Tamandua tetradactyla: one gene and its partners. The protein of the gene in region 1 interacts with the protein of each later gene in a pairwise test. Links are inferred from orthologs where the notes say so. Each region holds a gene or a part of one and is shown in the gene's direction. Other genes may lie near its edges.

Evidence for each region.
Region 2: the proteins of ATPAF2 (region 1) and PAK5 interact in binary tests that used the Homo sapiens proteins (3 or more experiments, as listed by UniProt). The two-hybrid records come from large-scale screens. The link is inferred for Tamandua tetradactyla from reciprocal best matches to the Homo sapiens genes ATPAF2 and PAK5.
Region 3: the proteins of ATPAF2 (region 1) and FSBP interact in binary tests that used the Homo sapiens proteins (3 or more experiments, as listed by UniProt). The two-hybrid records come from large-scale screens. The link is inferred for Tamandua tetradactyla from reciprocal best matches to the Homo sapiens genes ATPAF2 and FSBP.
Region 4: the proteins of ATPAF2 (region 1) and EWSR1 interact in binary tests that used the Homo sapiens proteins (3 or more experiments, as listed by UniProt). The two-hybrid records come from large-scale screens. The link is inferred for Tamandua tetradactyla from reciprocal best matches to the Homo sapiens genes ATPAF2 and EWSR1.

Annotation. Positions count from the first base shown.
Region 1 is NC_135332.1:1,682,467-1,690,265, reverse strand, and holds the start of ATPAF2 (ATP synthase mitochondrial F1 complex assembly factor 2), read left to right. Parts: upstream 1-4,393; 5' UTR 4,394-4,564; coding exon 4,565-4,697; intron 4,698-7,799. Other genes in the region: GID4 (glucose-induced degradation protein 4 homolog), read right to left, coding at 3,672-3,860. UniProt on the Homo sapiens protein: Plays a role in the assembly of the F1 component of the mitochondrial ATP synthase (ATPase).
Region 2 is NC_135327.1:50,970,882-50,978,981, forward strand, and holds the start of PAK5 (serine/threonine-protein kinase PAK 5), read left to right. Parts: upstream 1-4,821; 5' UTR 4,822-4,918; intron 4,919-8,100.
Region 3 is NC_135332.1:137,796,581-137,804,100, reverse strand, and holds the start of FSBP (fibrinogen silencer-binding protein), read left to right. Parts: upstream 1-4,240; 5' UTR 4,241-5,887; coding exon 5,888-6,261; intron 6,262-7,520. UniProt on the Homo sapiens protein: Transcriptional repressor that down-regulates the expression of the fibrinogen gamma chain. Represses transcription of GSK3B gene promoter via its interaction with APBA1.
Region 4 is NC_135331.1:33,760,874-33,768,684, reverse strand, and holds the start of EWSR1 (RNA-binding protein EWS), read left to right. Parts: upstream 1-4,738; 5' UTR 4,739-5,126; coding exon 5,127-5,139; exon of another isoform or gene 5,140-5,329; intron 5,330-7,811. Other genes in the region: RHBDD3 (rhomboid domain-containing protein 3), read right to left, coding at 1-340, 2,410-2,557. UniProt on the Homo sapiens protein: Binds to ssRNA containing the consensus sequence 5'-AGGUAA-3'. Might normally function as a transcriptional repressor. EWS-fusion-proteins (EFPS) may play a role in the tumorigenic process.

The DNA of each region.
Region 1 (7,799 bases):
TGGATGTCACCTGAAGCAGCTGATCTACACCAAGAACTCTATCCAAGGACGTTCAGGCAAGAACTCTATTCAAGGACGCACAGCTCCAACCCGGGGCCCTCAATTTCACGTACGCACTCCTCACTGAACTCAACCTAGTTTGGGGTTTCACGGCAGCTGGAAGGGCATCAGGTAACAAGGAGGCTTGATAATACGACAAAAAACTGAACTGTAAAGAGGCTAACATTTTGCATGGATTATCACATGCTCAAGAATCAGAATTTCAGTTTGGCCTCGATTCAACCACGCATTTCTCCCTCTCTGTCCAAAGTGACCTCGGCAATGGCCGGTAAAGTCAGACATGCCACATGCAAAGACAGGATGGCATCTCAACGGGAAAGAGAACAAGGTGAATGTTGAGCAAGCAGGTCTCGCTGCACAGCTGTGGTCAACAGCTGCTCTTTTTAATATTCCTTTCCCAGTGACCTGGGGCTACATCTACTCTCGGCTTTTTGGAAGAGCAGGAAGAGTCACAGCAATTAAAAAAAAAGACCCCCAGTTGGAAGCTCTCAAAGGTTAAGGAACTCCAACTGGAATCTCAAAAGAGAAAGTACGCCAACAAGCACTTGAAAGGACATTCGGCATGAGCATCAGGGAAATGCAGATCAAAACCACCACGAGACCTGCACCTCACATGCCTTAGGACAGCTCTAAGCAAAAAGGGAGATGATAATAAGTCGTGGCGACGACGTGGAGCAGCTGGAACCCTCGTGCACTGCAGGTGGGAATGGGAAACAGTGCAGCTACTGGGGAAAACGGCCTGGTAAGTCCTCAAGATGGTAAGCAGAGTTACCACTCGATCCAACAATTCCAAGGGAAATGAAACACATGGCCACCCAAAAGCTTCCAGACGAATGTTCACAGCAGCATGGTTTGTAATGAGCAACCCAAATGACCATTTCTGATGAAGAGACAAATACTGAGGTCCAGCCATACAACAGCTATCATTTGGCCAAGGAATCAAATACTGATGCTAAGTGAAAGAAGCCAGTCATAAAAGACCACATATTGTATAATTCTGCTTTTAAAAAATGTCCTGAATAGGCGAATCTAAAATACAAAAAGTAGATTAGTGGTAGCTGGAGTTGGGGGGTGAAAGCTAAGGGGCATAAGGCTTCCTTCAGGATGATGAAAATGTGCTAAAATTAGATTGCAGTGATGGCTGCACAACTCGGTGAAAATACTTAAAACCACTGAATTGTACACTTCAAATGGATGGATTGTATGGTATGTGGATTCTATCTCAATAAAGCTGTGAAAAGGAAGAAAAGAAGGAAGAAAGGAAGGGAAAGAAAGTGGCTGCCTTACAAAAGGCAGAAGTAGTCTAAGAAGGCTGAGTCGAAGAAACTAGTCCTGGCTGAAAAACCAGATGATGGAGCAATTCCCGTGCCGCTGATGAGTCCCTGGGGTGACCAAGCAGCCGCTGAAGCCGGATGGAGGGCGGCATTCCTTGGCATGACTGTCTCTCCGCCCCCATCAGCCACCCCACTCATGCGGCTTCTAGCACTTGGCCAGGCTTTTCCTCTGGGCTGTCCTGAGACCTATCAGCAGTGCAGAAGTTTCTCCAAACATCAGATTCTACAAACTCAGCAGCTCAGTCACACCTTCAACTTGGCTCAAGGGAAACTTGGCACTTGACGTGAGTTCAGGAATATTATACATTAACGACAGACGAGAGCAGTTCCTGCAGGCTGCCGGGCAGACCCTCCTCTGACACTTAGCTACCTACCCCACTGGTTGTCCCTACAGCACTGGAAACCATCCAATTAAAAAAGCACACAAATTCAAGCTCATCCCAAATGTGGTCCAAACAGGGATCTCACTTCCAGGATTTCATGTTTAGCTGCAAAAAGATAAAGCCCTCACCTTCACACTACATTTCACATATCAAGCGAAAGCAAAGGGGAATCACTGCATTAGACATATCATTTTGAAGAACTGAACTACCTCAGCCCAGTAGTTTCTCAATTACAATGAGATCACAGCTCACGTTAGAGCCTGGAGTTTACAGACCAAGATAGAATTAACATGAGGATGCAGTCCTCCTGGTCCAAAAAAAAGAGAAGAAAGTTACTTATTTCCATGGAACAGTGTGAAATGGAAAGTGATAAAAGAGCTACAGTTAGCAGGAAGAAAAACGTCCCCCCACTGACTTTGCTGGGAGACCTGTCTGTTCAGAAGAGAAGCGGTTTAGGATTTAAAATAAAAGAAGACTGAGGAGGGCTGCAAGGAGGGGACACGTCCTCTATTCTCTCCCTGCACACAGAAGCTGTCAGGCTTCACACGTGGACTATGAAACTCTCTGTAGGATTTCCAGGGAGGACCACTGTTTGGAGAGGCTTTGGGGGAACAGCCTAGGAGGTGGGGCGTCTGGCTAAGGAAAAAGGGGCAGAGGGAGGGAGAAAAGTGGGTTTCAAGGTAGGCAGGAGCAGGCATGGAGGAAAAATGGTTTTGTGGGGAGGAAAGATAAAAAGGGGTATTCACACCACCAACCTCCTTGGGCTGGGGAAAAATGTCATGTGTGCTACCGCTTGTGTGGGAGGGGAGAGGTGCTGGACGGGCCAGGGCAGGTGGCATTGTAGCCCCAAAGCCTGGTCCGGCCTGGCAGCAGGTACTCGAGATCCAGGTCAGGTAGGGGGAGGTGGATGGACACAGAAAGGAAATATCCATGTGAGACACAGAACTGGGTGAGTTGGATTTCCCAGCCCGCGGGTATCAGAGACTAGGAGGAAGCCCTGTGCCGGTGCAGATAAAAGTTAAGAACACAGAAAAGAGGGCTCCCTGGAGCAAGGAATGAGGAAGATGAAGGTATGGGGTGGGGAGGTCTGGGGGGAGAGCCCTGGGACACTGGAAGTAGCCAGAGCAGGGGGGGCAGGGAGTGGGCGAACCCTAGGACAGGAGGCCTGGGGGTGGGGGCAGCTGCGAGGAGCCGGGTGCTGGGAGCATGCAGAGGCTGGAACTGTGGGTGGTACCGCGGGGGACGCAAGAGGCAAGATGCTAACAGGCTGTGAGGAGCCCCACTGGGCGGCTCCCAGGGTGCGAGGGGCTGGTCTTGAGGGGAGGGGGGCACGGTCTGGGGACTCAGCTGTGGGTGGGGACTCCTGGGAGCTAACGGAATGAAGGGACTCCCAGGTAGGAGGGCTGACCACACTTTTTCGAGGGGGGGCTGCCCTGATCTTGGGGGATCCCTGGGACTGAGAAGGGGGGCCTGTTTCAAGTCTGGGAGAATCTGGCATGGGCCTAGCCTGTGGGGGGACCCCCGAGAGGGATGGGCAGGGGCTACTCCAGAGGAGACAAGTCAAGAAGAAGGAGCGGCCAGGCCGGAGTGGGGCAGTCATGGGGGGGCTCCGGATCCCGTGGGGGTCGGGTGCCGGGGAGCCAGGTCCGGCGGAAGGCTCAGGGAGTGCCGGGAGCCGGTCGCGGAAGCCCCGGGCCCGCGGGGACAGGTCGGGCCGCGGCTCGCGGAGTTTGAGGCGCCAGCGGGGCCGGTCCCGGGTGAGCTGCGGCGGGTGCAGCAGGCCCCGGCGGCCCGGCCTGGTCGGCGGCCGCGGGCTCGAGGCCCCGGGGCCCGGCTCCGGCCCGTGAACGCCGCGAGGAGGCCCTCGGGCCCGGCCAGCCGGCCCGGCGCTCACCTGCAGCACCACCTCCACGTCGTACGAGTTCCCCTTGCTCTTCTGGTGGCCGCGGAACTTGGAGCCGCTGTAGAGCAGGCTGGTGGCCACGCCAGGCTGCTGCGTGTTGATGGGCGGCGGCGGGATAAGCGAGGCCGCCGAGGCGGCCGCGGCACCGGCCGGCGGGGGGCACTCGGTGCGGACCGGCATCGCGGGGTCCCCGGGAGCCAGGGCTGGGGGGAGGGGAGAGGAACGGCCGCCGCCGCGCGGGAGCCGAGGAGCGCGGCGGGGAGGGCGGGGCGGGGCGCGCACGCGCGCGGCGGGGGCGGGTGGGGAGGGGTCACCCGCCCACTGCCTGCGGACCAACGCTCCGGCAGCCCCGGGACCCCGGGATCTGCGAGCTGGGCCTCCCCGTCCGGCGCTGGATCCCCTCCTCACTTGCCCTCGCACACACACACACATACACACAGACACACACACACACACACACACACACACACACACACACTCTCACTCACTCACACCAGTCCTTCCGATTGGTGCGGGCGCGCCGGGGGGCAGGAACAGGCTCAGCCGGCGCTCCCGCCCATTGGCGGGCGGAGGAAACACGTGGCAGGGTGCGCGAGCGGCCCTCTGGGACTTGTAGTCTTCCTGCCGAGGCGCGGCGTGGTGGGGCGGGGCCAGGCGCGTTTGTGATGCTGATTGACGGGGGGCGTGCGCCGGAGGCGCGCGGGAGCGTCGGCGCGCCGTTGGCGTCACGCGGAAGGTGACGGCGTCCCGGGGACGCTGAGGAATCCGTGGAGGCTGCGAGGGGAGTTCTCGTACGGCCCGACGGCGCGATTCGGGGATTCCTTCGCTCGGTGTTTCCTGCTCTCCGGCTTCGCGCCGCGCGTCGCCCCAGGCCCTCGGGAGCCATGTGGCGGAGCTGCCTCCGGCTGCGGGGCTGGGGGCGCCGCCTCCTGAGCGGGCCCCCGCGTGGCCTCGCGGCCTCCCTGGGGTCGGGGCCAAACCATTTGCCTCCGGCCCGGGCCTACGCGCCCCCGACAGGTGAGGCCAGGGTCCGTTCCGTTTTGGCCAGGGCCCGAGCCGGGCTAAGGTGGGCTGAGGAGTTCAGCCATGCAGGGTGGGTACCCAGGTAGGGTCCTGTGCAGACCCGGAAAGCGAAGCCCAGACTAGGGCAGAGCGGGCCGGAGGGCGCCCGGGTGTGTCAGCCCTAGACGGTCATTGCCGCTCGGCCCGGGCGTTTTTTCTCAAAGCTCACGGCTTTCGTCTCCTTAGCAGCGCAAGCTGGTGTGATCCCAGGTTTCGGACGGAGAGATTCGGGTTCTGAATCGGGACTTCACCAGGGTCACGCTGCAGACTTAGAGAGGTCGTGGAGGGCAAAGGTTGGCCTGCCTGGCCCCCCCCCCCCACACACACACACATACCGACACTTTCCCCCTCCGCCCTTGATGAGTGAGGCCTTGAAGAACGGTTTGGCCCTTTCCCTCCTGCTGGGGAGAGGTTTTTGGGTGGGAGGATCTCATTTTAGTGAATAAAGAGTAGTGACACTCTCCTTCCCTTCCCTTAGTTGCTTTATGCCGGAGGTAGGGTGTGCAGTGGTTTCAAGACAGGTGTGGTCCACCTTGAGAATGTTCATTGTCAAGTGCAGAAGATTATACTGTTCTGATTAAATAGGAAGTTATAATACAAAGAAGCTGCGACAACACAGAGACGCCCTGATTCCCATGTTGGGGGTGCTCAGGATCTAGAAAGAGTCGTGAGTAATAGGGCATTAAAGTTGGGCCTTGATGGATGAGTAGGAGTTGGGTGAAGAGGAGGAGGAAGAGTGTTAGGTAGCTAGAACACGTCCAGAGGTGACAGTGAGCCTGGTGTGAGGGACCTTGCTGTCACAACCTGCTCTCAGAAATCCAAACCACCCCAGGCAGTTTGAGGCACTGTGGCAGGAATGTAAGTCTGGTTCTAATGCTGGAGTGCTGTGTGATCTTGGGCATGTGACTGCTCTCTTTGGGGCTCATCTTCCTCTTTAAGTTAAAGGACTTAGTTTTCTCTGGACCCTTTTGGCTCCTAGGTAAAAGAATTTTATCCAAATGGGGGAGGGGATTGGATGTAGCAGGGAGTGGAGGCTTCATCCATGTATCTCATGGGCCTGGAGTGGCCCATGAGAAGCAGTAAACAGGAAGGAGGAAGGGCATCCCAGAGAGGCACAGCATGAGCAAAGGGGACACAAGCCGGAGTTTCTCAAGTTGACAAAAGCCGGGAGTTCGTGTTGGTTAGTAACTGCTCACGTTCCATCACGGTGGCAACTGATCTGCTCTCTCCTTTTCCTTTCCGCTGCAGACACAGTCGTGGAGGCTTTTGGCAGTACCTGGCGCATGGGAGGTGGTCATATGTGGAAAAAAAATTGAATGAATGAATGAGGTAGTGTGGGAGAGGGGTGCCTAGTATCAGGCCGCTGCATGCTCTGCAAAGACCTTACCGGATGGGAGAGTCTCTGCTTCTCGATGAAGGCTTCGACTGGCAAGGAGATTGAGCTTGGCCCCTGAGGACTGGGCTTGTCGCTGGAGGTTTTCCAAAGGAGAGGGGGCATTTTGGCAAGAGCCATTGAGATGTTGGAGAGGAGACCTACTTGAGGATGCTTGTGGCCTGGCAAATACCCTTGACTGCTTGGGTGGGAGGCGTTCAGGAGTGCTGAGTGCAGACGCGGTGCAGTCCAGGCTGTTTTTCACCACTTACGGCCTGGCTGTCACCTGAACAAGTCATTTAGCTGTGTCTTGGGCCTCAGAGGCAAGACCTGTTCCTGCCTTTCTCGTAGAGTGGTTGTGTGGATTGAGGGACATCCTGGAGATAAGGGGTTCAGCCCTGCAGCCTGTTTTTTTTCAATGAAGTTTTATTGAAACATAACCACCCTCATTTGTTTAGATGGTCTGTAGCCGCTTTCACCACCACAGTGGAGTTGAGTAGTTGCAGCAGATGGGATAGCCTGAAACGCCTGAAATATTTACTGTCTGGCTGTTTACAGAAACAAGTTTGCCAATCCCAGCGGTAGATGCAAGAACCATTTGGAAAATAGAGTGTGTTTAGTCATTTAGCCCATTTACATTAATTGCTGCACAAATACATGTGGCCTGAAGAATTTTTTTCTAACAGCTTTATTGTGATATAATTGATGGACCATGTAATATCCCCATTGAAAGTAGACAATTTAGTGGGTTTTAGTGTATTCACAGAATTATGCAGCCATCACCATAATTTTCGAATGTTTTCATCAACCCCCCACCCAAGAAACCCTGTATCCTTTGGATGTTGTCCCAAATCCCCCCTTTCTCCAGCCCTAGATAACTGCCAACCCTTTTTCTTTCCCTATGGATTTGCCTATTCATGACATTTCATATAAATAGAATCATACAGTATGTGTCCTTTTATAACTGATTTATTTCACTTAGCGTAAGTTTCAGCTTTTCACTTAGCATAATGTTTTCGAGGTCCATCCATGTAGCACATACTCCTTACTTTTTATGGCTAAATAATTATCTTTTGTATGTATAAACCAGATGGACACATGGATTGTTTACAACTTTTGGCTATTGTGACTAAGTCGTCTATGCACATTTGTGTATATGCTTTTGTGAGAACATGTTACAGGTATACATTTCTCTCAGGTAATATATACCTATAACCAAGATTTAAGAGTTAACAAATGACTGTGGTTACTGAATCGTTATATAGATGCTTTCTTATTTTCTAATATATTGTAGAACATCCAAAAATAAATACTGTAACTACTGAAACTCCCTGAACTGTAACCCAGGTGCCTTGATCTTTGATGGTGATACTTTGTTGTATAACTAAATAATCTTTACCTTATAACTAAAGCCTCATGATAACGCATAACGAGCTCTACATGTACCCCCTCATTTTGTTTTACAAATTTGAAGTCTTGTGATCAGGTAGATAGTTCTCTAATGTTTATTAACATAAGAATTTGAGTCAGCTCAGTACTAACTCTCCCCAATTCCTAGGCTACCTTTTTTTTTTTTTCTTTTTCAGCCAGTCCCTGTGAGTTTACTCTTATACTGTTTGTGCGTATTTCTAGATTTAAAAGATCCTTTGATTTTATGGTTGAAAGCAATGCCGGATTTAATATTC
Region 2 (8,100 bases), on another chromosome or scaffold:
TGAATAGCCAAAAGCATCCTAAAAAATAAGAACTAAATGGGAGGATTAACACCCCCAGACTTTAAAATCTTTTATAAAGCCACAGTGGTCAAAACAGCATCGTGCTGCCACAAAGACAGAAGCATTGACCGATGGAAACAAATTGAGAGGGCATAAATAGATCACCAAATCTATGGTCAACTGATTTTTGACAAGGCCCCCAAATTCTTTGAACTGGAACAAAAAAGGCTTTTCAATAAATGGGCATGGAAGAACTGGATCTCACTAGTCAAAAGAATGAAAGAGGACCCGTATCTTACATCTTATACAAAAATTAACTCAAAGTAGATAAAACACCTAAATATAAGAACTAGCACCATAAGGCTTCTAGAAGAATATGTAGGGAAACATCTTCAAGACTTACTATTGGGAGGTAGCTTCCTAAACTTTATACCCAAAGCACAAGCAACAAAAGAAAAAATAGATAAATGGGATCTCCTCAAAATCAAATGCTTCTGCACCTCAGAAAACTTTGTCAAAAAGGTGAAGAGGCCAACTCAATGGGAGAAAATATTTGGAAATCACATATCAGACAAAGGTTTGATTTCCTGTATATACGAAGAGATCATACAACTCAACAACAAAAGAACAAACAATCCAATTATAAAATAGGCTAAAGATATGAATAGGCATTTTTATGAAGAGCAAATACAGATGGTTCAAAATCACATGAAGAGATGCTCATTTTCACTGGCTATAAGGAAAATGCAGATCAAGACTACAATGAGATACTACCTCACACCTATAAGATTGGCTGTTATTAAGCCATCAGGAAACTATAAATGTTGGAGAGAATGTGGAGAAACTTGGACACTTATGCACTGCTGGTGGGAAGATACAATGGTGCAGCCACTATGGAAGACTGTTTGGAGGTTCCTTAGGAAACTGAATGTGGAGCTGCCCTATGACCCAGCAATAGCACTACCTGGTATATACCCAGAAGAGCTGAAAGCAATGACACAAACAGACATTTGCACACCGATGTTCATAGCAGCATTATTCACAATTGCCAAAAGACGGAAACAAACCAAATGCCCATCAACAGATGAGTGGATCAACAAAATGTGGTATATACATATGATGGAATATTATGCAGCAGAAAGACAAAATGACGTCCTGAAGCACATGACAAGATAGATGAGCCTTGAGGACATAATGCTGAGTGAAATTAGCCAGACAGAAAAAAGGACAGATACTGTATGATTCCACTTTTATGCCCAGTATGAAGGTATAATCAGAGACTTATAATATAGAATACAGGGGACTTGGAGATGCTTAGAAGCTAGAGATGGATGAACCATTAGCTAATGAGGTTGAACTCCAATGCAAGGGAATAGATAGGAGTGAAGGTGATTCTCTAGTGGGTCTAGAAGTAATTTTACCATATTGAAGATGAACAAGATTGAAAGGGATTGTATAGACCTATGTATCTCACTGACTCACACTTGAAATATGAATGAGTTCTTGTAAGAATTACTTCAAAGATTTGATTCTTGTATAAAGAGTGTTTAAGTCCAGGGTACAGGGGGAAAACAGCTATTGCATGCTGTGAGCTATGTTCAAAAGGAGACCATCAGCATTACCACAGCAACAGCAGAGGTAAATAATGGGGTGAGGGACAAGAGTTAAGAGGAAGTTTAGATCTCCTATTTGGTCAGAGTATGTTTATTGGTTTTCTGTCTCTTCGGAGCAATGAAATTATCTAAAATTGAGAATGTTGATGGACTGTGGACGTTAGGCCCGATGAATGCTGGTGGCTGTAGGATGCAGTGATGGAGAAGTAGAATGGCAAATGATGGTGTATACTTATGAACAATGCTGTGCTGCTACAAAAAGGAACATTGTCGTGAAGCATGCAATGGTGTGAATGAACATGTAGGGTATTTGGTGAGACAAAATAAGCCAGAAGCAAAAAAACAACAATGTTATGGTCACCTTTAGAAAATGCTTATAAGAAAACAGGAGCCTAGATTTTAAGCTTTTAGAGCAGACACATTAGGTCCAGAGTGGTGATTATTATTTCTGGACTTTGACATATATATATAAATAGATATATATATAACCTGATATTTAGAGATAAGAACAAAGTCAAGCAGGTTAGGGTTAAAGTAATTCAGAGCATAGGGGTAAGGAAGACAATGTCTATGTTTTAGAACCACACATACTCTTTCAGAGCAATGGAAGAAAGGTTTATTTGGTCTGGAACTGAAATTTTCTGTAGTGCATAATCTAATTCAACCTATCTGTATAGCTCATTTGAACAACTGAAACACAGAGAGCACAGAATGAGAAAGAGGCCCTTTAATCCTGTATAGATTATTAATGCCTGGAAACATCCTAGAGTATATTAACCAGATAATCAAAAAGTATTGGCAAGGTCCCCTGAGGGAGGGGAGAAAGACTCTGGAACTATTAAGCCTTACCATCAGGGAATCCCTGATACTGTGTCAAACTTCAGGGACACCCAAATCAATAAGCCATGCCCTCGATCCTGAGACTTACTCTTGTGAAGCTTATGTAGGTAGCCTAGACGATTAGAGTAGGCATGCCTAAGAGTTACTTCTGGAGGACCTCTGTTGCTCAGATGTGGCCTCAGTCTCTCTAAGCCTAACTCTGAAAGTGAAATCATTGGCCTCCATGCTACATGGGAAATGACATCCAGGGGTAAAAGTCTCCCTGGCAGTGTGGGAGAGGACTCGCAGACCTGGCACTGTGGGATCAACAATTACTTCCTGACCAAAAGGGTGAAAAGAAGTGTAATTAATAAAGTATCAGTGGCAGAGAGAGTTCAAACAGAGCTGAGAGGCTACTCTGGAGGTGGCTCTTATGCAAGCTTCAGGTAAACTTTGCTACCTATTATAACCTGCCAACCCCCAACCAGGTCCACTCCAGCCAATTCTAAAGAATACCTAGGGCAACTTATAAGATTCCACAAGGGTTTCAGGCACTAGAGTAACTTGCCAGAAATCTACACTCTCCAGATGAGTCCCTGGTCCAGACAAGTTCTGCAAACTAGCCCAGCCTCTCCAGAACATCAGATACTTCCATCTCTCTATCTCACATTAGTGGCAGACCCTTCCTATATAAAAATTTTACAATTGCCATAGCCTGAACAACCCCAATGCGAGGTATGGAAAGATCAAAAGTGACTTAACAAATGAATAGGAATGCTGAATCATTAAACTGATATCTCTTTTAGTCTCCAGTATTTTAGAGCAGCTAGAAGTAAAAACCTAAAATTGTGAAATTGTAACCCATGTTAAAAGTCTGAAACATGTTCTACAACTAATTGTGGTGCTGTGCTTAGAAATATATAGCTTTTTTGTATATATGTTATTATTCACAAAAAAAGAAGGAAAAAAAGTCAATTGTGATGATAAAAAAGAATATATGCCTCCTATATTCCGGAGCAGCTAGAAGGAAAAATATGGTAGCCCACAACAAACTCTGGGATCTGTCCTGTAACCACTTTTTGAAGAGTGCTTTGAAAACTATTGCTTTTTTATTTCTTTGCTTTGTATGTATGTTATATTATGCAATAAAAAAAATTTTTAAAAAAAGGGTAAACAGAGGTCACTAGGCTCAAATAATTCCAAAAACGTGCAGGGCAAACTCCAAAAAAAAAAAAAAAAAAGTGCAGATAGTAGCTATTATTGGGAAGAGGTAGTGATTTTTAGGAGGTAAGAGGGGTCTTCTGAGATGTTGGTTGTCTCAGCGGTCCCATGACCACCCACTAGTTCAATAATTAGCTAGAAGAACTGACATGGTTGAGGTCCTTCCCTCAACATGAAGTTATATTCACACTTAAGATTTATGACAGCATAGGATACAGCACAGGACCAGCAGGAAAAAGTTATGCACCAGCAAAGTCATTAGAAGTCCAATCGGCTTTTAAAATTTTTTTTTACAATTAATTCTTTTTTTCAAACTTTTTAAAATTGCACAATATAACATATACACAAAGCAAAGAAAGGAAAAAGCAATGGTTTTCAAAGCATTCTTCAACAAATAGTTACAGGACAGACCCCAGAGTTTGTCATGGGCTACCATATGATCCTCTCAGATTTTTCCTTCTAGCTGCTCCAGAATATGGGAGGCTCGAAGGAATAACAATTTTTTAATCATCACAATCTACTTTTTTCTTTCTTTTTTTTGTGAAAAATCACATATATATAAAAAAGCAATAAATTTCAAAGCACAGCACCACAATTAATTGTAGGCCAGATTTCAGAATTTGGCATGGGTTGCAATTCCACAATTTTAGGTTTTTACTTCCAGCTGCTCTAAGATGCTGGAGACTAAAAGAGATATCAGTTTAATGATTCAGCATTCCTATTCATTTGCTACATCCTATCTTCTCTGTATAACTACACCATCACCTTTGATTTTTCTAGCCCTCTCTTTAGGGGTATTTGGGCTATGGCCATTCAAACAGTCCAACAAGCTTTTTTGCTTCTTTCAGCAGGTATCTCAGGGAGCGTCTTCTCTGGATATGAATTTCAGGGACTTATGCCAGATGTTTGTGCCCAGGAAAGTCAGAATGAGTCTTGAGTTCCAAAGCTCTTAAATGGAAGAACTTATCTGGTACATGGCCAGCCATGGTGTGAACCCCAAAGCAATCCCCCAATGCACATCGTGAATCCTGGTGTTTACTTTACATGACAAACACAGTCCGTCTTGACCCAGTGCTTAGGGATATGGACTAATATGATTACCTAGTCATTATGTGAACATTAGAGTCTTTTAGTTCTCAGAGTTGACCAAGGGTCATCACCATGGTAACACACTTAAAGGGGAACTGGGTGAACCAGACCTGCTGTGCTAACTCTTTCTGCTCACTTGGCAATGCTCTTTCTTCTTCTGAGGACTGATTATATGGGTACGTTTAGTTTGTACTTACGTGTGCATATTATACTCCAAACATTATATTTTTTTAGTGATTTATGTAGCAGCCCATCTTCATCAATTAGGGCTATTTTGAGAAGATAAATACCTTTTTGCAGGTTCTTGTAAGGTTACTGAAACCCTGGGAGGTTATCAACACAATATTAGCCATCAAACCAAAATGGGCTCACCTGACATGCACAGTAGCTTAGACTTTAAGCTACAAGTCACCTATACCTCATTCTGCCATTTTCTTACATTCATTGTTTGACTAAGCAGGAATCAACATATGCTCAATAATCAGATCACCGCTAATTACATCATCTGGGGCCACTGTGTTCCTTATCCTAAACCCTGCCCAATTTTTCTCTAATAAAGTTATCACAATTACTGTGGTTCTGGGAGACAGACTTTGGGCCACTAGGCCATCTGCTCTCCTACTATACGCTTAGCAATAAACTCTTTCTCTCTTTGGAAAAAAAAAGTAATAATAATACTAGGAAACATTGGGGACTATCAAAAACAGGAAAAACTCTAAATCTAAGAATTATTAAAGTAAGTGTAAAGAGAGTTAGAGTGAATTAAATCTCCTATACTCAGTTTCAGAATACTTCTGAATGTGTGGCAGTAATTATGAGGAAAATTGTGGTCCTTTTGGCCATTCTTGAAGTGTCTGAAGTGATCAAAATAATCAGGCATATCAAATATGTAATTCAGATCCAAGTTTTTAAGGGAATTTAATCAATTGCATAATCTATGTTAAAAGTGGTTCAAAATAGGTTTTCGATTTCTTTGTACGATATTTTTAATTTAAAACGTGAACCCAAAGGCCTGGGTCCTCCCAGCGGGTCGTTCCGAGGATGTGGCTCTGGGGTCTGGGCTCCAGGTGGCGGGTCGCCGGACCGTCCCTGGGCGGTGGCCACAGTGGCCCAGGAGGCCAGAATGAGCAGACAGTTCCATTCGGCCTCTCGCCGCCCACCCGCCTCTTTGTCCTCTGGGGCCTCACAGGGGGCAAAGGCCTTGGTGGGGGGCATCTTTGTAGACCCAGTGAGCTCGCGGGCAGGAGGGCTGTACCTTCTTCCAGAAGCTTCCATTTGGAGGTACTTGAAGGCCAGACCCAAGCCCCAAGGGGTCCCTTGAGTGGTGCAGGTTGGACACAGCTGCAATGGGGGCCTGGCCTTGGGGTCTCCCCTTGAAGACCGAGGGGCTGCTGGTGCTGTCTGTGTCAGGGACCAACAGCGACTGGAATAGGCCCAGGTGTTGTACCCCAGGACTTATCTCCCAGAGGGAAGAAGGCGGATAATTAGTAAGCAAATAAATAAATTAATAAGCTAATTTGAAATAATAATAAGAGCCCTGATAGGAAAAAAAGACTTTTAAAATACATGTGCAATAAAAACTCAATAGATTTGAGTTAAGTTTGTCTTTTACTATTAATTAATTATGTAATCTTGAGCAAGTTCCTTCAGCTTTCTTATCTGTGCAGTGAAGGGGGCAATAGCTTCCTTCAATGAGATGGTCTATGGCGCTGTCCTAAAGGTCCAATTTTGCATTTTAGAAATTCACTGCTTTGTTACCATTGGCTAATCCAACAAATGCTTTGTTTATCTCCCATGGCTGGGGCACTAGGTTAAGTGACATAGAGAAATGGAATGTTGGAAAACACAGGATTAAGAGCAGGGCATGCAAACATCGAGACAACTCCAAGCAAGGAAATGAGGCCAGAGTGAGCCTGAGGAGCTAAGGAAGACTCCGGCAGTATCTGAATGGTATCTTTGTGAACCAATAGGATTTCAACAGGAAAAAGGTAGGGGAAGCTAATGGTGGAGGAACACTTACACGAAGGCTTCCTGCATGGAAATGCCAAAGTTTAACAGAAAAAAGGTTGGCCTTGTTGGCTTGAGGATTATGAAGAGGATGTGGAGAAATGAGACAGTAAAGAAAGATTTGCACTAAACCATGAAGGTCCTTAACTTCCATGTGAAGGACTTTGGGGACAATGAGGACCTGAGAAAGTTTTTAGGGTGAGGGAGAACATAAGTGGACCTGGATTTCAGATTCACATTCTCAAACAGCAAATTAGTTCCCTAGGAATCAGATTTTGGGACAGAGGTCAGTGTTTGGGGAGTTTATTAAGCAGTATCCTTTGGACACAATGCCCTGGGACAGGAGGAGAAGAAAACAGAAGCAGCAGAGGGAGAAATCGAGAGGGATGCAGGCCCCGTGGCATCTTGGCCAATGCTCCAGGGAGATCTGGGGTGGCCTTCAGAGCTGACCCAAAGTTGACCAACAAAATCTTTAATCATTGGCCATTGCTTCGGGGCTACCCAGGAAAGGCTGTGGCATTGGACAAGGCCATTTTCTTCCACTGAGATGATCCCATGACTGAAGGCTGCCTACTGACCACACACCCCGGGATAAGTGAGTCCTTCACTGTAGGGGGATCTAGGTGGTGCTTTAGAACTATTCAGGGGCCTTCAGAAATCTGGTTTTCACTCCAAATTGGTAGCCATGGAGGAAAGCCAGGCACTTTTATTTTAAATGAGCTTCCCTAATGATTTTTTAAAAAATTTTTATTCTAGTAATATACAGACAACCTAAAATTTCCCCCTTTTAACCATATTCAAATATATAATGCATTGCTGTTAATTACATCCATAATGTTGGGCTGCCATCACCACCATCCATTACCACAACTTTTCCATCATTCCAAATAGAAACTGTACATTGTAAACCTTAATAGATGATTTTGGTGCACAGAAATTTGATAACTTCCCTTCTACATAGTCATTCAAAAGCATTGTGTAAAGACCCTGGCCAGGCCTAACCCCTTTGCTTTTGGCACATCTTTTCTGCCCCCAATTACTTTTCTTTAATATTCACAGACACTCTATGAAAGGAGCAAAGCTGGTACCTGCATTTTGCAGAAAAGAAAACTGAGCTTAGAAAGCATCATTGACAGGCCCAAGGTCACACGGCTGCTCAATTTTACTCAGGTTCGCACCTGCCCATTACTGCTCCAAGTCTCTTTCTAGTATTAAAATTTTACTACTGTATAGATAATATTGCTCTTAAAAAAATGAATGCCCTTATTATGCTTAGAAACTTCTCAAATGTTATGTCAATGGCCCTTCTTGCAAAAATTAAAGTTTGTCTCTGTTGTGTTAACCGTAGATT
Region 3 (7,520 bases), about 140 Mb from region 1:
GTATTGACATTCCTTTGTTCTTCCTCATGCAAAAACATTTTTAAGTTTGTACATTTAGTCACTATCATTATACACTCTAGGCATCCCTAGATTATACCATCTCAGTCTTAATCGTCTTTCTTTCTGATTTCATTTGTTTCCCCAACCTTCCTCCCTCTATCATTCTCACATTGAGCTTTATTCAGTGTTCTAACATAATTGTATTACAGTTAGGTAGTATTGTGCTATACGTTTCTGAGTTTTTATGATCAGTCCTGTTGTACAGTCTGTATCTGTTCAGCTCCAATTACCCTATATCTTACCCTATTTCTATCTCCTAAGGGTCTCTGTTTCCAGTGAAATTCTCCAGTTACCCTATATCTTACCCTGTTTCTATCTCCTAATGGTCTCTGTTTCCAATGAAATTCTCCAAGTTTATTCATTAATATCAGTTCATATCAGTGAGACCATACAATATTTGTCCTTTTGTTTCTGGCTAATCTCACTCAGCATAATGTCCTTAAGTTCCATCCATGTTGTTACATACTTCATAATTTTATTGTCTTGCAGCTGCATAATATTTCATCGTATGTATCTACCACAGCTTGTTTAGCCACTCCTCTGTTGACGGACATTTTGGCTTTTTCCATCTCTTCACAATTGTAAATAATGCTGGTATAAACATTGGTGTGCATATGTCCGTTTATGTCCTTGCCCTCATGTCCAATGAATGGTATTGCTGGGTCGTATGGCAATTCTATACTTAGGTTCCTGAGGACCTCCCAAACTTCCTTTCACAGTGCTTGTACCATTTGACATTCCCACCAACAGTGGATAAGCATGCATCTTTCTCCACATCCAGGGAGGGGTTTCTTTACAGGAATTTGTCTTATCTTGCCTATGTGCAATTTTACCCATGCTCAGCACAGGTGCCCTGTTTATGTGTAGTTCTGACTGCTCAGAGGAATTTGGACGATTTTTAAAGAGGAGGTAGTTTAAATGTGTAAGGAGTGGTGACAGGCCCACCTTCTGCAAGGGGCCTGCTTACTATACTATCACAAGAAAGATTTTTAAAAAAATATGTCTGCCCAAGCCAGTTTACTATCTCTGTGTCAACTCAATATTAATAACATTACATTTTAAAGTAATATTGCATAAATTAATAAATATATATCAACAAGGCATTCTTAAACTTTTCTTGTAGTTTTTGCAGGCAATTTACTTGACACTACCAGTTAAAATTAAAATTTTCTGCAGCTTAAGTCCCCTTGGGGTAAGGTGAGAAAGGGGGAAAATTCAGCTTCCCCAAGTGGAGAATTCTTGATATTCTCACAAGCAGTGGGGACAACCAAAGCAGTAGGCTGAGACACCCCAGTCTTGGGGTTTGTTCATATGAAATTTAACCCCACAAAGGACAAGTCAAGCCTACTTAAAATTAGGCCTAACGTCATTCCCAAAAGAACCTATTTTGTTGCTCAGATGTGGCCTCTCTCTTCAGCCAACACCACAAGCAAACTCACTGCCCTCCCCTTCTCTACCTGGGACCTGACTCCCAGGGGTGTGGACCTTCCTGGCTACATGGGACAGAAATCCTAGAATGAGCTGAAACTCAGCATCAAGGGATTGAGAAAACCTTTTAGACCAAAAGGGGGAAGAGCGAAATGAGACAAAATAAAGTGTCAATGGCTATGAGAGGTTCCAAAAAGAGTCGAGAGGTTTTCCTGGAGATTATTTTTACACATTACATAGATACCACCTTTTTAGTTAAGGCGTAACAGAGGCTGTAGGGAACTGCCTGAAAATGTAGAGCGGGGTCCCAGTAGCTATGTTTCTTGAAGATGATTGTATAATGATATAGCTTTCGCAGTTGACTGTGTGATTGTGAAAACCTTGTGTTTCATGCTTGTTTTATCTACCTTATAGACAGATGAGTAAAACATATGGATTAAAAATAAATAAATAACAGGGGAAACAAATGTTAAAATAAATTTAGTAGATTGAAAAACTAGTGATCAATAGAAGGGAGGGGTAAGGGTATGGTATGTAGGAATTTTTTTCTGTTTTCTTTTTATTTCTTTTTCTGAACTGATGCAAATGTTCTAAGAAATGATCATGATGATGAATATAGAACTGTGTGGTAAAAAGAAATGTTCATATTGTATGTTGATTGGTTTTATTAATAAAAATTAAAAAAACATTTTCTGCAATTTGATTCACGTTAGAAAAATGTATCAGCATTTATTGATTTGTATTATTGTAAAGATTTTCATTTAAAATCAAAATTCTCTTACCTGTCTAACTAGGTCACAAATAAACCTTTCCTTTTCTTGAGGCTTTAGATTTAGCTCATCCATGTGCAGTGTGATATTGATGATAAAACATAAATTGCACTGCCATTTTTTGTCTTTGATTATTGAATATTTGGCAGGCATTCCTTTTGTTTTAAAAAAGTCCTGAACTGAAGTTAACAGTACAGTAATCTTGTATAAAACTTTTTCATGACTTAGCCAGTATGAATTGATGAAGAACGATGAAATCATAAATCAGTTCTCTATTTCTTTCAACATCCATAAACTGTCAGTGAGTCATCGCATTTGCACACATATTCTGAATGAGTTCAACAACTCCATTTATGGTACTTTTCATAGGGTCTGCTTCGGAATATTAAGCACAATAATTTTAGCACGCACATAGTACATACTCAATATCCATATTTGAGTAGCAGCTACTATATATTGGATAATGGAACTCTAGACTTTTTTTAGGAAACATTTTCACATGTATGTATGCATCTGTAGTCTGCACCTACAGATACACACTCTCCACCCTCAGAAATATATAACTTTTCATATATTTTGTAAGCATAATGACCTACACTGTATTTATTGTTATTTTACTTGCTCTTTCCACTTACCGGATGAAACAAACTTGGAGCTTGTTTTATGTTAGTTCATGGAAAACTGGGTTCTTTCATTGTAGTGCTGCCTGGAGTAGAGCAGTGCATAGTCTGCAGATGATGGCCTTTGAAGTTACTTTTATTACCATGCAAGTGCATAAAATGCTCATTTGAGTATATTCTAAGGTAGAATTGTTACCGAACAGAAACCGTGGATTGTTCTCCCGGATGCGCTCAATAACCAATTCCTGAAACATCAGGGTTTCAAATACAGAGTTTATTATAGCACATAGTAGGAGAGCATATGGCTTTAGGGCTCAAAATCTGTCTCCCTGTGTTTAGGGAGTTCAAGGTTTTTGAGGATTTTAGCAAGGGAAGATGAGGTCATTTCAAATACCTTGTCCAAAACAGAAAAGGGGACTGTGCTATCATTATCATTTCAATAGGAGAACATAAACTGACAGGAGGGGAGGTAGAGCTGTCACTTCAGTACTCAAGGTGTAAGCCAAAAGGAAGGAAGTAGTTAATGGCTGACTTCATTAGCATTAGGGCCTTTGCTCTACAAGAGAATGACCCGATAAAGGGCCTAACAGCTCTTACAGTCACAAAGGCACAAGATATGAGGGCTTTTACACTCATTTCAGTTATCAGGCAGCTAAATTATAGTTTAGGGTTTTCAGATATTCCCTTGTTTTTACCCCAGTATTCCAGAAAGCAAAAAGGAATATGACTCAGTAATCAGAATCATCCCTGAAATCCTAATTTCTCAGTTACAGATTCTAAGAAGGAAAATTTTGAAAATTTTATGTATGTAAAATATTAATAGACATATTACTAAACAAAAGCAGGGAGTCCTCAGCTGATACACTCAAATGAGGAATTCCTGAGGTACTGGGGTTTCAAAGAGAAAGTTTATTGCTAAGTGGGAAGCAGACCAGATAGCCTAATGGCCTAAAAATCTGTCTCCCCTAGTCTAAGGAGTTTAGGGTTTTTATGGATTCAAAGAAGGGAAGATAACATTACAATAACAAGTATAAACAAGGGCTCAGACTAGTTGAACAAGTTTCAGTAATATAAAGTATTAACTTGTGGCTAATCTACAATATACTAGAAAGTAAAAAATAAAATCTATATAATGATTCAGTAATCACAGTGAAACTCCTGTTATCAGTACAGAACAGTACTTTCCCCTACATCATCATCCATTCTTGACATTTTCAGTCTTCCAGCATTTTGCCAGTCCTTTGGATGAAAATCTTTTTTAGTATACATTTTCCTGATAAGTGGAGATTGAACATTTTTTTGATATTTTCATCACTTCATTTTTTAACATAATATCTGTATATCTTTTGAAAATAACAAAATATTATTTTTAGGAAGTATATACCCTGACAGTGTTCTTACTTACCTTTGTTTTCTTTTTTTAAAAAGCTCAGAAAAAGTTAAAATGACTTTTAGTACCTGTGGTCAAGTTGTTGTTGGGGCAGGTCATTTGCAATTTGCACCTGTAGGGAGAGAAATTATTGGCACTACTATTAGTTTTCTACAATTTATGGAGCTGTAAAACTGCTCTAAAACAATGAAAGGCTACCACCATTGTAGAATCAGATTACCCAGTAGGGTACACTAAACAACGCCTGGCATTTCTTAAGATATTCAGCAGTCTTTTACTTTTTTTTCCTGTCAGTTAGTTAACACACTTAAAGTTTCTAGCCATTGTCTGGTTTATAGTGAGAGCTCAGTAAATTTAATTTGCTTCTCTTCTGTTGAGAGAATGAAAAACAGGATAATTGAAAATTTCTGTAGAGTTACAATCCCCTGAATAGGGGCTGTATCTCACATTGTTTTCATAGTGCTTTGAATGGTGGTTAGGGACATTTTTATTAGGTATTTAGTATGTGACTGGATGGAATATGTTAAAGTCTGTTTTAATTCATTCCCCATATCTGCAGAAACATGAGAAAATAGGTTCATTTTGTTTACATTGTTGTTTATCATGTTTTCAGACTGGGATTAGAAAATATATTCTAAGTATGTAAAATGGTACCCTTGCAAGCATCTAGCCTAACTCTTTCCTTTCATAGCTCAAATTGTGTGAGTAGAGCTAAATAAAAAGTCCTACTCCATTTTAATAGCAAATGAGAATTTGGTGTGTGCGGTCTTACCGCGTGATTACGTTGTTTCTCACCATGAATGGTGATTTTTTACAAATGGTAAAGCAGACGAGCATATTCACATGGAATAATCCATTGCTTTAAAAATATCCATTTTTATCTGTTTTTTAGATTTTGGTTTTTTCCCAAAATTTCTTGTTAAAAGCTGAAAAAAATATGTAGGGGCTCATGTAGACTGTAAAATGAAGGAGAAGCTTAGCTTTACTGTGAATTCTGAGTGTGGGTGTAACCTAACTAGCTAGAGGATATGCAATTCCTGATTGACAGCAGGACCAGCATTATGCAAATTTTGTATGAGAGAACTGCCGCTCAGAAACAGTGATTAGGGGCTCTGTGGAATCACTACATTTGCCACTCACATCTTTAGTTTTTCATTTTTCTGTGTACTGAATTTGTAAACAAATGGCACAAAACATTCTTCTTTTGTTTTTATTAAAATGGTTCTGCGATGCAGTTTCAGTCTATCAGCTAGGCATACATGTACAGAAATCAGATACTCACTAAATTAGCTAATTTTTAGCTGTGTTCCATGCTTATCTCTAGACCTTTGTGTATTAAATCCTATCTCGAGCTGTTCTCTTTATACACAAGTGTGTTTTGCTTGTGCCTTCCTGTCTTCAGTGAGAAGCTTTATGTAGGTCAGGCTTGGCTTAAGCAGATTTCCTGAACCTGCGTCAGCTTAAGCTGGAGGAATTTTAATAAACCCTCCCCTGTAGGCGTGGGCCTAAATGAGGCTAGCCTAGTTAAGCCTGATCTTTTTCTGTTTGTGAAAAGAGCTGAGCAGAGCTGAAAGCTGCATGGTGGTTTTAGAAACTGCCTACTTAATTTGAAAAGAACGATGGTAGGAAAAGCTAGATCTTCGAATTTTACCTTATCTGAAAAGCTTGATTTGCTAAAGCTTGTGAAACCATATGTTAAAATTCTCGAAGAACATACTAATAAACATTCAGTAATAGTGGAAAAGAATAGATGTTGGGATATCATAGCGGTTAACTATAATGCAATTGGAGTAGATCGCCCTCCTCGTACAGCGCAGGGCCTACGCACCCTTTACAAAAGGCTCAAAGAATATGCCAAACAGGAGATATTGCAGCAAAAAGAGACCCAGTCAGATTTTAAAAGCAATATTTCTGAGCCAACCAAGAAAGTTATGGAGATGATTCCCCAGATTTCCAGTTTTTGCCTGGTAAGAGACAGGAACCACATACAAAGGTAAGCTTTATTTTACGTTGTTGTGGAAAATTATGGCGCCTCCTATCTATTGGGGTTTGGCTTAGTTGTGATAGATATGCATTGTAAGCATCCCCACTAGGGGAGCAATGAATAGAGTCTTTGTTTTGCATTCTTAAAAGAGGAAAGTGAGGCTATAAGGAATTTTTCTGTTGCATTTTATTTGAGCTACTTTTTGTTGTCTTTCCCTCTCTTCACCCTTCCTTCTGTAGTTTCTAAAGGTGAAGTAGAGAATAAATGAGATGAAATTTGTAACATCATTTTATAAACTTTTTAAGCTTTAAAATTAAATGATTTAAATTTCTTCTAAGAGAATTATATCATTAAAAACTATATTTCATTGGGATTTTCAATTTTATATATAATTTATAAAAAGTTTAAGGAGAGAGGGAACTTTTGCTTTTATAATCTTAACCTTTTTTTGTGAATTTCCACTGCGATTATTGAATATATTTACATTGAACTATAAATAGATCTAAAATCAGTAATTAAGTAAACTTTATAATGGCATGATTGTATATTAAAAGAGTTTAAATTATTTTTCTAACATATTTTTAATTATAAGATGGACCCAAGGACAGGAAGTATATGCCTAATTAGGGATTCAAATTACTTAATAAAATTAAGGGTTTTTTTTTTTGTTTTTGTTGTTGTTCTTAGTGTTCATTAATGGTCTAGTTTCACTTTGAACATGGGTCATACAAAAAAGGTAATCTTTCATATATTGCTTTGCAAGGATATCAAACTACTAATATTTTTTCAAACTATTAATCTTAACATACTCATAAGAACAACTGGGTATTTTGAGTGTTAAAAATAGTCAGTTTTTGGGTTAAATTAGTACTCTGTAAACCTATTTGCCTAGGAATCCTCAAAATTTTTGTCTTGCCATTAATTCATATTTTAACTCCTGGCAAAAGATAAAACTGGCAGCTATAGTTCTTATACTCTGAACCATTTAGATTAATTTAAGCTCATTGTAACCTTGCAAGTTGAGGGATCTTTCAAACAAAGCTTTACAATGTGCTTTCCTATTGGTAGAAAAAAAAGTTATTGTGGAGCACAATTATTGATTACCTGTGAAATCCCTTTGAAGTTGGGAGGGGAACAGGAAGAAAAGAACTGTTTCGTAGCCAAACATTATGTGTTATTTTGTAATTTTCTAGGAAAATGTTTTTGAGCCTAGCTTCTTGCCATATACTGGTCATGTCTAGTTGATAGCACGGTAAAACATATCACCA
Region 4 (7,811 bases), on another chromosome or scaffold:
GGCTCGGAGCTGAGCAGTGGTGTCAAGGTCAGCAGCAGCCATGGCAGGAGCCACGGTGGCAGTGCCCCACGGGGCCCTCCAGGGTGATGACTCTGCCCAGCCAGCATGGCCAGGTGCACGGGCATGTAGCCGCAGCCCCCGGCTGCATGGGGCACCCCAACGCCCGCCAGGAGCACAGCCAGTAGCCCAGCCACCAGGGCGAGCAGGACAGAGGCATACAGGAACCGTAGGGTGCCCAGGCGGCATTCCTGCTGCCAGCCCAGTGCTGGCAGGAGCAGCAAGCTCAGGAGCAGGCCTGGCAGGGCTGTGTGGCCCAGGGCGTGGGTCAGCAGCCTGTGTGCTGGGAGAAAGGAGGGGCATAGGTGCAAGTTGGGGGCTGCCCTACCGCTAGGGCTAACTTCTGAGCCAGCTTCCCCTCCCCAGGAGCCAGTCCACCCACTTAACCTTCATGGAGGGGACCACGGGCTTCCAAACACTGGGACAACTCCCCTGTTGTGTTATAAAAAGTCCAGACCCACTAGTCTTCTAGTGGCTTCTCGCCAGCAGCCACTGGTGGGCTCTTGCTATATCCCAGGAACTGGGGAGGGGGGCGTTAAGTACACATTTGCTGAATCCTACACCCTGGGAGCAGGGGTGCTGGTAAGACTGCCTGCCTGTTTCAGTCCTTGTACCCGCCCCCCCAATTCCCAGCTGGTGACCTTAGACAAGCCACTTAACCTCCTTGAAACCAAAAATTATTTGGTTTCCTCCAATGTAAATTGGAGCTATTATTACTGGAAAACGGGTGCTTAGCTGGGGTCACTCCTGGAACCCCCAGTACCTCCTCCCCCTCCTCATGCTCAGCTGAAGGCCTTACCTCTTATTTCAATGCAAAAGGGAAGCTGTCAGAAAAGAACTCCCACCCACTGGCTCCCACCCCACCCTGCTCGACCTCCACCTGAGTCCTCTGCCCTCTCTTGGCCCGGGGTGAGCTGGGCACATTTCCATCCAAGGCCAACTTTCCCCAGGGACCTAGGCCCCATCCCTGTTTGGCCACTGCAGGGTGCATCCCACTCCTACCAAAGTCATCTCTCTTCTGCAGCACTGATATTCCTGTCCTGGGCTGTTCCTGTCAGCTGTCAAGCACACTGCAGGTCTTTCTCTCCAGCCACTGCCCCATCTCTGCTCCTATTTACAGCAAGACTACTAAAAGTCATCACCCTTCACTGCCTCCACTGCCTTTCCTAGTCATGCCTGTCCCCTCCACTCTGGGGAAGCCACTCTTGCAATGAGCTATACATGGCCAGATCTGATGGGCAGCTTTGTGTCTACACTCACAGACATATAACATGGTCATCCTCTCCAGTCTAGGCTTCAGATGTCATCAATATGCTGATAACTCCCACATTTCTATCTCTGACACAGAATCTGCTACCTCCAGTCTCACGTGTCCAACAGCCAACTCACTCTCCCACTTGAATGTAAAATCAGCATTTCAGACTTCACATATCCAAAAGCCAAACTCTACACTGGGTTCCCTGTTGCAGTAAGTGGTTAACTCCATCCTCCGAGCAGCTCAGGCCCCAACCAAACCTCCTGCCCCTGTATTCTCTCACCCTCAGTTACTACCCCCAAAGCATCCCCTGCCTCCAGGGCCAGGCCATTATCTTGCATCAGGATCTTTGCCGTCACCCTCTCACTGGGCTCTTGCTTCAACCCGTTCCCACTTCAGTTGGTTGCTCACAGCAGCCAGGGGATCCTTCCAATGCACTCCAGTTGGAGCTGAAGTCCTACCACAGACCTCAAGGCCCCACATGCGCTCCTGCCCCCCCCCCTCCCATTAACCCCATTCCCATGTCCTCCTGGCAGTCCCACAAACACTCTGATGTATTCCCACCTCAGAGTCTTTGTCTTGCTGTTCCTCCTGCCTGGCTGGCTGCTAGCCTTGCCCCCTGCAGGGCTCTGGAAAATGCCACCCTGTCATGAAGGCCTTCTATAAGAGCCCTATCACTCACAGCTCCCCCCACACCATTTCACCTTCTTCTCAGCACCAGCTATGTATTCACTTGTTCATGTCTGTTTCCCCCTTCCAGAATGTCAATGCCATGAAAACAAGGACCTTGCTTTGTTCACTATTGCATCCCCAGCACTGAGCAGTGTATGGTACATGGTAGATGCTCAATGAATATGTGCTAACTAAATGATTGGATGGATGGATAGGTACTCATCAGATTCTAATTGTTTTGTATTATATAGTCATTCAGGGAACTGCTTGGGCAGCTCTGTCCAACTGTCCTTGATATAAGAGGAGCTGCTGCTGATATCCCTAGTTTCCAGATGAGGAAACCAAAGCCCAGAGATGGCAAGTGACTGGTCTTGGCTCCCCAGCAAGTCTCCTGCCTCCTCCAAGGCCTCGTGGATGGCCCTCACCCTGCCAGGGTTCCAGCAGCAGCTCCGGAGCCAGGGCGAGGCTGGGGCCAGCCCCCACCAGCCACAGACCACTCAGCAGCAGCATCAGAGCTGAGGAGGCCAGGGGCATGACCAGGGTCGGCAGGCCAGAGGTGCCTCTAGCATACATGGCTTGGCTGAGGGTGGTCGAGGGAGGTCCTGGGGCTGGATGCTGGGAATAAAGGAGAATAGTAACAGTGGTTATTATCATAGACTTTATCTCACTGACTCACTCTCAATGACCCTGCCAACAGCTCCATGTTGGAGATGTGGAAACTGAGGCTGGAGAGGCAGGCCACACAACCTGACCATGGCAGAGTTCAGACCCTAACTCATATGCCCAGCCACCTTGCCATTCTGCCTGCCCCTGTGTGAGGATGGGCAGTGGTTGAGAAAAAGGGCCCTGAGTTCTGATGGGCACTGAAGAGGAGTCAGGGGTAAAAGGCACAGAGCCAGGGAAGTCAAATTGGAGCCCAGAGCTCCCAGAAACAGGAGTGTAGCCCCTCAGGGAAAATTCAGGGCCATCTCCAGCCCTCCTATGCCTCCCTCTTCTCTCTGGGTGGGAGTCAGTTCATGCAGCCACCATCCCCCATTCCTCCCTCCACTGTGCCCAGCCTTAGAGCTCCTGCCATTTGGCAGCCCTAGACCCAGGGGGTGGAGCCTGCAAGGCAGTGTCTGCAAAGCGGGCCAGCCAGTGGGCAAGTAGATTGGAAGGAGAGTAAAGTCAAAAGAGTTGGAGGCAGGGAAACAGGAGTCCTGCCCCCTGCACCTCTACAAAATGTCACGGGATTGAGAAAAATCGCTTCCTTCGGCACAGCCCCTCTGGCCCTGGCCTACTCTTTCCCAAGGAAGGTTCCATTCTCTGAGTTTCCCCAGATCTGAGCCTCTCTCCTCCTAGGGTGAAGAGCAAAAGGAATGGGCTAAAGCAGGACCAGGCCCACAGCTCCCACTCAATAAACATTAGTGGCTAATCCTGGAAGGCAGGTGGAGTCACCAGCTCTGGGTGGCCAAACTGGCTCACTGCCTGGGCTTAGAAACAACTCCTCCAGCCTGGCTGGTCCGAGCTCTGGCCCACTAGTGCGCAAGACAAGGCCTGTCCTCCCTCCTCCTGGCAGCCTGTCCTCCCTCCTCCTGGCGGCCTGTCCTCCAGCCCTGCTGGAAGCCCCTCACCGCTGGCTAGGCCACCCTGCCTCAAGCCCCCCAGGAAGTAAGACCCTAGAGAGACAAGAAACGCTGCCTCACCTGCTCTCTTGCCAAGAGCATCCTTGGCAGTGAAACCCACCTGCCAGTTTCCAGCAGGAAAAATATGGAAAGCTCCTCCATCTGCAATATGCTTCCCTCTGTCTCTCCAACTGGCAAACTCCTATTCGTCCTTTGAAGTCTAGCTCAAAGGTCCCCTTGGCCTCCTCCGCCGGCCCACACTGGGGATCTTATCCTAATTTATGAGCACAGCTTGGCTTATCTGTCCTCCTCCTAGGCAGGCAGTCTGAGATCATGGAGGAGCCTCCTCTCACTTATCCCAAGCTCCCCAGGGTGCACCCAGCACTTCATACGTGCTCACCAAAAGAAAGATGCATTGGCTCCGGGTCCCACTAAGGAATTTGGGGTGAGACCTGTCTTTTGCAAGTGCGAGCCTTGCCCTGAGGCTGGGTCTGGGTCCAAGGCCCATCTGCAAGCCTTCTACTACTTTTTCACAATCACTCCCTCCCAGGCCACCTTGCACGTCAACATGCATGGCTGGGACTTGAACTTTTTGGGGCCCAGATTCTTCATCTATATAATGGGACTGTCAACGATCAAGCCCTGCCTACCTTAATAGGAAGCCGGGAAGACAGAATGGGAAGACAAGGACGGAAAAGTTCTTCCGGAGAGTGGGAAGGTTAAAGGTCCCAGGGTATGGGTCAGACTTTGTGACTTTGGGTCAAGTACCAAACTTCCTTGGGCCTCAGTTTCCCCTTCCGTAAAAACAAGGGCGTTAGATGGGGATGACGAAGGGACCTTCTTAACTTCGACCGTTAGTGGGGGCCTCTCGGGGCCGGGCTTAGCGTTCGGACCTCCCACCCAGCCTATGAGCCCCCGGCCCCCTACCACGCTGCCCGCACCACGTGTCCAGGGTACTCACTACAGAGCGCGCCCTCGACCCCGGGGAGGCCGCGCGGGGCACCCGCCTAGGAGTCAGGACTCTACCCCACCGCCAAGGCCCGGGAGTCCCGAGCCCATTCCTCACACACCTGGCGCGTGACCCCTACCGCCTGGCCGGCACGCCGCCCGCCGATTAGTCAGCAGTTGTCCTAGGCCCGGATCCCTTCCCCCAGCTTTCCCGCCGCCCTCCGTTTCCCTCCAGGCCAGACTCTTCACAGACGGTCCCTAGAGCCAGAGGACGTAACCATTCCGAACAACCCAGCTTCGTGCGGAGAGTTACCTCGGTTTGATACCGAGATCTGTTCAACGGCCGCTCCGGCTCCTTCAGTGCTGTTTTGGCCCGCACGTCACATCCGGCGCTCTTTAGAGAGTACTAAGACTAGAGTTGCGGGCGGTAAGGGCGAGAAAGCTGAGGTTCCTCCTTGTCCTCCCACACCCCCGTGGCCTGGTCCCATGGTAGCGTCCGAGGTTGCGGGCTTCGCGCCTGCGCAGTGCGGCGCCTAGAGGGAAGGCGAGAGGGAGACGGACGTTGAGAGAACGAGGAGGAAGCAGAGAAAATGGCGTCCACGGGTGAGTGAGGTGGAACCGCGGTCGCGCCGGCGTCGACTGGGACGCCCAAACCAGGGGCCACTCGTCTCTGGAGGTGGCCGGGGCGACTGAGTGGGGTTGCCGAGAGGGGTCTCAGTTGCCCGCCACAGCCGGACGGGCTTGGAGACCCGTGTTTCCCCCCCTCCCCCACCGGGCGGGACGGTTCTAGAATCTTCCGGCGCCTCCCGCGCGCGGGGGGCTTGCGGCGGCGCGCGGTGACGAGGGCGCGCGGGACCCGTCGAGGCCTCCATTGTGTGGCGGCCGTCGGCCCTGCGCTCGGGGCAGCCCGCCACGTGGGCGGGGCCTGCGGCCTCTGGGTCGCTGCGTGGGGCGCGGGGCTGGAGGTGGTTGCTTGGTTGGGCTTCGAGTTGGCGTCTGCAAAAGTCCGTGTGGAGGCGGCCCGGTTGGCGCGTGGGAAAGCCGTGGACCCGCTGCCTGTGTACCCTACCCCCTCAAACACACGTTTCCTGAGAGGTGGCTCGAGCCCGAGGGCGACCCTACCTCCAGGAGAAGCTTAGGGGAAAAAAACAACAAACAAAAAAGGCGTCGCGGATTTGTGGGCCGGGGGGCGCCGGCCTTTCGCTCGGCCTATGAGCGGGAGCCCCGTCATCCCTAAGGCCGGGTCGGCTGGGGGAGTCCGGAGCCACCGAGCTGCTCCCTCCACGCGTTCCAGCCCCAAAGCTGAGTTTCTGCTTCACTGGGCGCTGGGCGGAATGTGCTCCATCTTTTTGAACCCCACAATCGGCTGCCCTCTCGGGCTTTTTGGGGTTTTTTTTTTTTTTTCATTATTTGTAAACTCCACTTCCTCCTTTTCTCAAAAGCTATTAAGTGATTCCTAGAGTCCATTTTTATTGCAAACGCCGAGGGAGATCTGTTGTATAATAAGGCCAGTCTGGATTGCGAGGCCTGAATTTCTATGGAAAGAAATTTCTGGGTTCTTCGACCTAAGAGGAACAAAAGGTCGGCACCAGTATTTGAATTGTGCTTAAGCAATCGTTTCACGCGTTTAATAGCCTGCGTCGGGCCGATAGGCTTATATATTTTGTGGGCTGCTAAAAGAAGAGGGAAAAGAGGCTCTCGGTAGACATGGAAAGAAAGCCAGACTTGTGAACTCCAGAATGTGATGTGTGAGGTGGTCCTTGGTGCATGGAGAATTTTTAAAAAGTGTACTTAAGCACCTGCCGTTTTGCAAACTGTCCATTCCCTAGCTGGCGGTTATCTGCTAGGTCCAGCAGTTTTGCCTCTGGAGATATTCTTAGGCCTCCTGATTCCTGGCCTTAGAAACAGAGGAGATGAGAGGGGAAGACAGGATAACCTCTGGGTCGTTCAGAGTTTTCTTCAGAAAAGGGTCCGTAATCTAGCAACCTAAAGATATATTTCTCATTTTACCGTACTGTGTGATTAGTAAAACGGGTAAATGCTGGCTGTCCAAGTTTGGGATGGGCAATGGTTGAATGTTACTGTCCCTGCCCTGCTGAATCCTGGGGAGAGGGGTGCAGATGTGTACCTTCAGCATGGCTGGACATGTTTTTCGGTCAGTTTTACTCAACTTCCATTGATTGTTGTTGACTGATTTTTTTAAACTACAATTACAATTGTGCTTTATGCAGACACAATAGTATTAGGACAGGGATGGGAAGTGGTGGTGGTGTGAGGCTTTGGGGAGTCATGTAACTTTTCTGGACCTTAATTTTCTTTCTTGTAAAAATGAGTGAACGAGGCTAGATCTTTTAGGGACTTTTTGAGTCCTTAACTTCTGACCTTACAGCAAAGCATTTTGGTTTCCACAAAGTTGCCCCATACTGACTCTAATGCATTATGTAGTTGAATATTTAAATCTGCACAGTTTAGACAGTGACTGCCGTAAAGCTGCTGTCTTGGGTAATAATGCATGTTTTCCCTCTTGTATATATCATATATAGAAAAGCACCTAAAGCCTATGTCCATTGGAACACAAAGAATTACAACGCAGACTCCCCAAGTAACCACCACCTAGGTGGAGAAACAGAATATTGCCAGTACCCTAGAGGACCCCCTGAATTCCAGCCTCTTTCCTCCTCCCAACCAGTCCAGTATTTCTAGTGAAGTCTTCAGCTGCACATTTGGGAATTAAAAAGAGAACACAATTGGTCACTAAATAATTTGACCGGGGTATAATTGAAGCATATTTGAGGCCATATAATATCCATGCTGTATGTAATTCTCATGAAACAAACTTGCCATCTCCCTTAGGAATTGGTGAGCCCACTAGGGTAGGGTGAAATCTTCTAGTTTCATGCCAGTCACATCTTCAGTTCCATATCATCTTTGCCAATTTTATGTTTTACATAACTATTCTTGTGTAAAAGTCCTATTGCAAACAGAATTTACATGCCAGCGATTTAGAATCATTTCTCATTCAGAAACCTCAACAAAATGTTGGCTGAAATATATGTTTTCACATGCTTTATTGGTGTGTTTATTTTGTGAATGCCACATGGAAGAAATGGTTCGGTTTACTTTTATATGTCACATAAACGTCATGAATTGTAGTGCTGATGAAAATGCCTTAAGGCTATCTTAAATCAATTTGTTCAATATAGGTAGCCTTTGGGCAGTTGATTTGTTAATGTTGATGATTCAGCATCCTGGGGGGGGCGGTGGAGGAAAGAAAG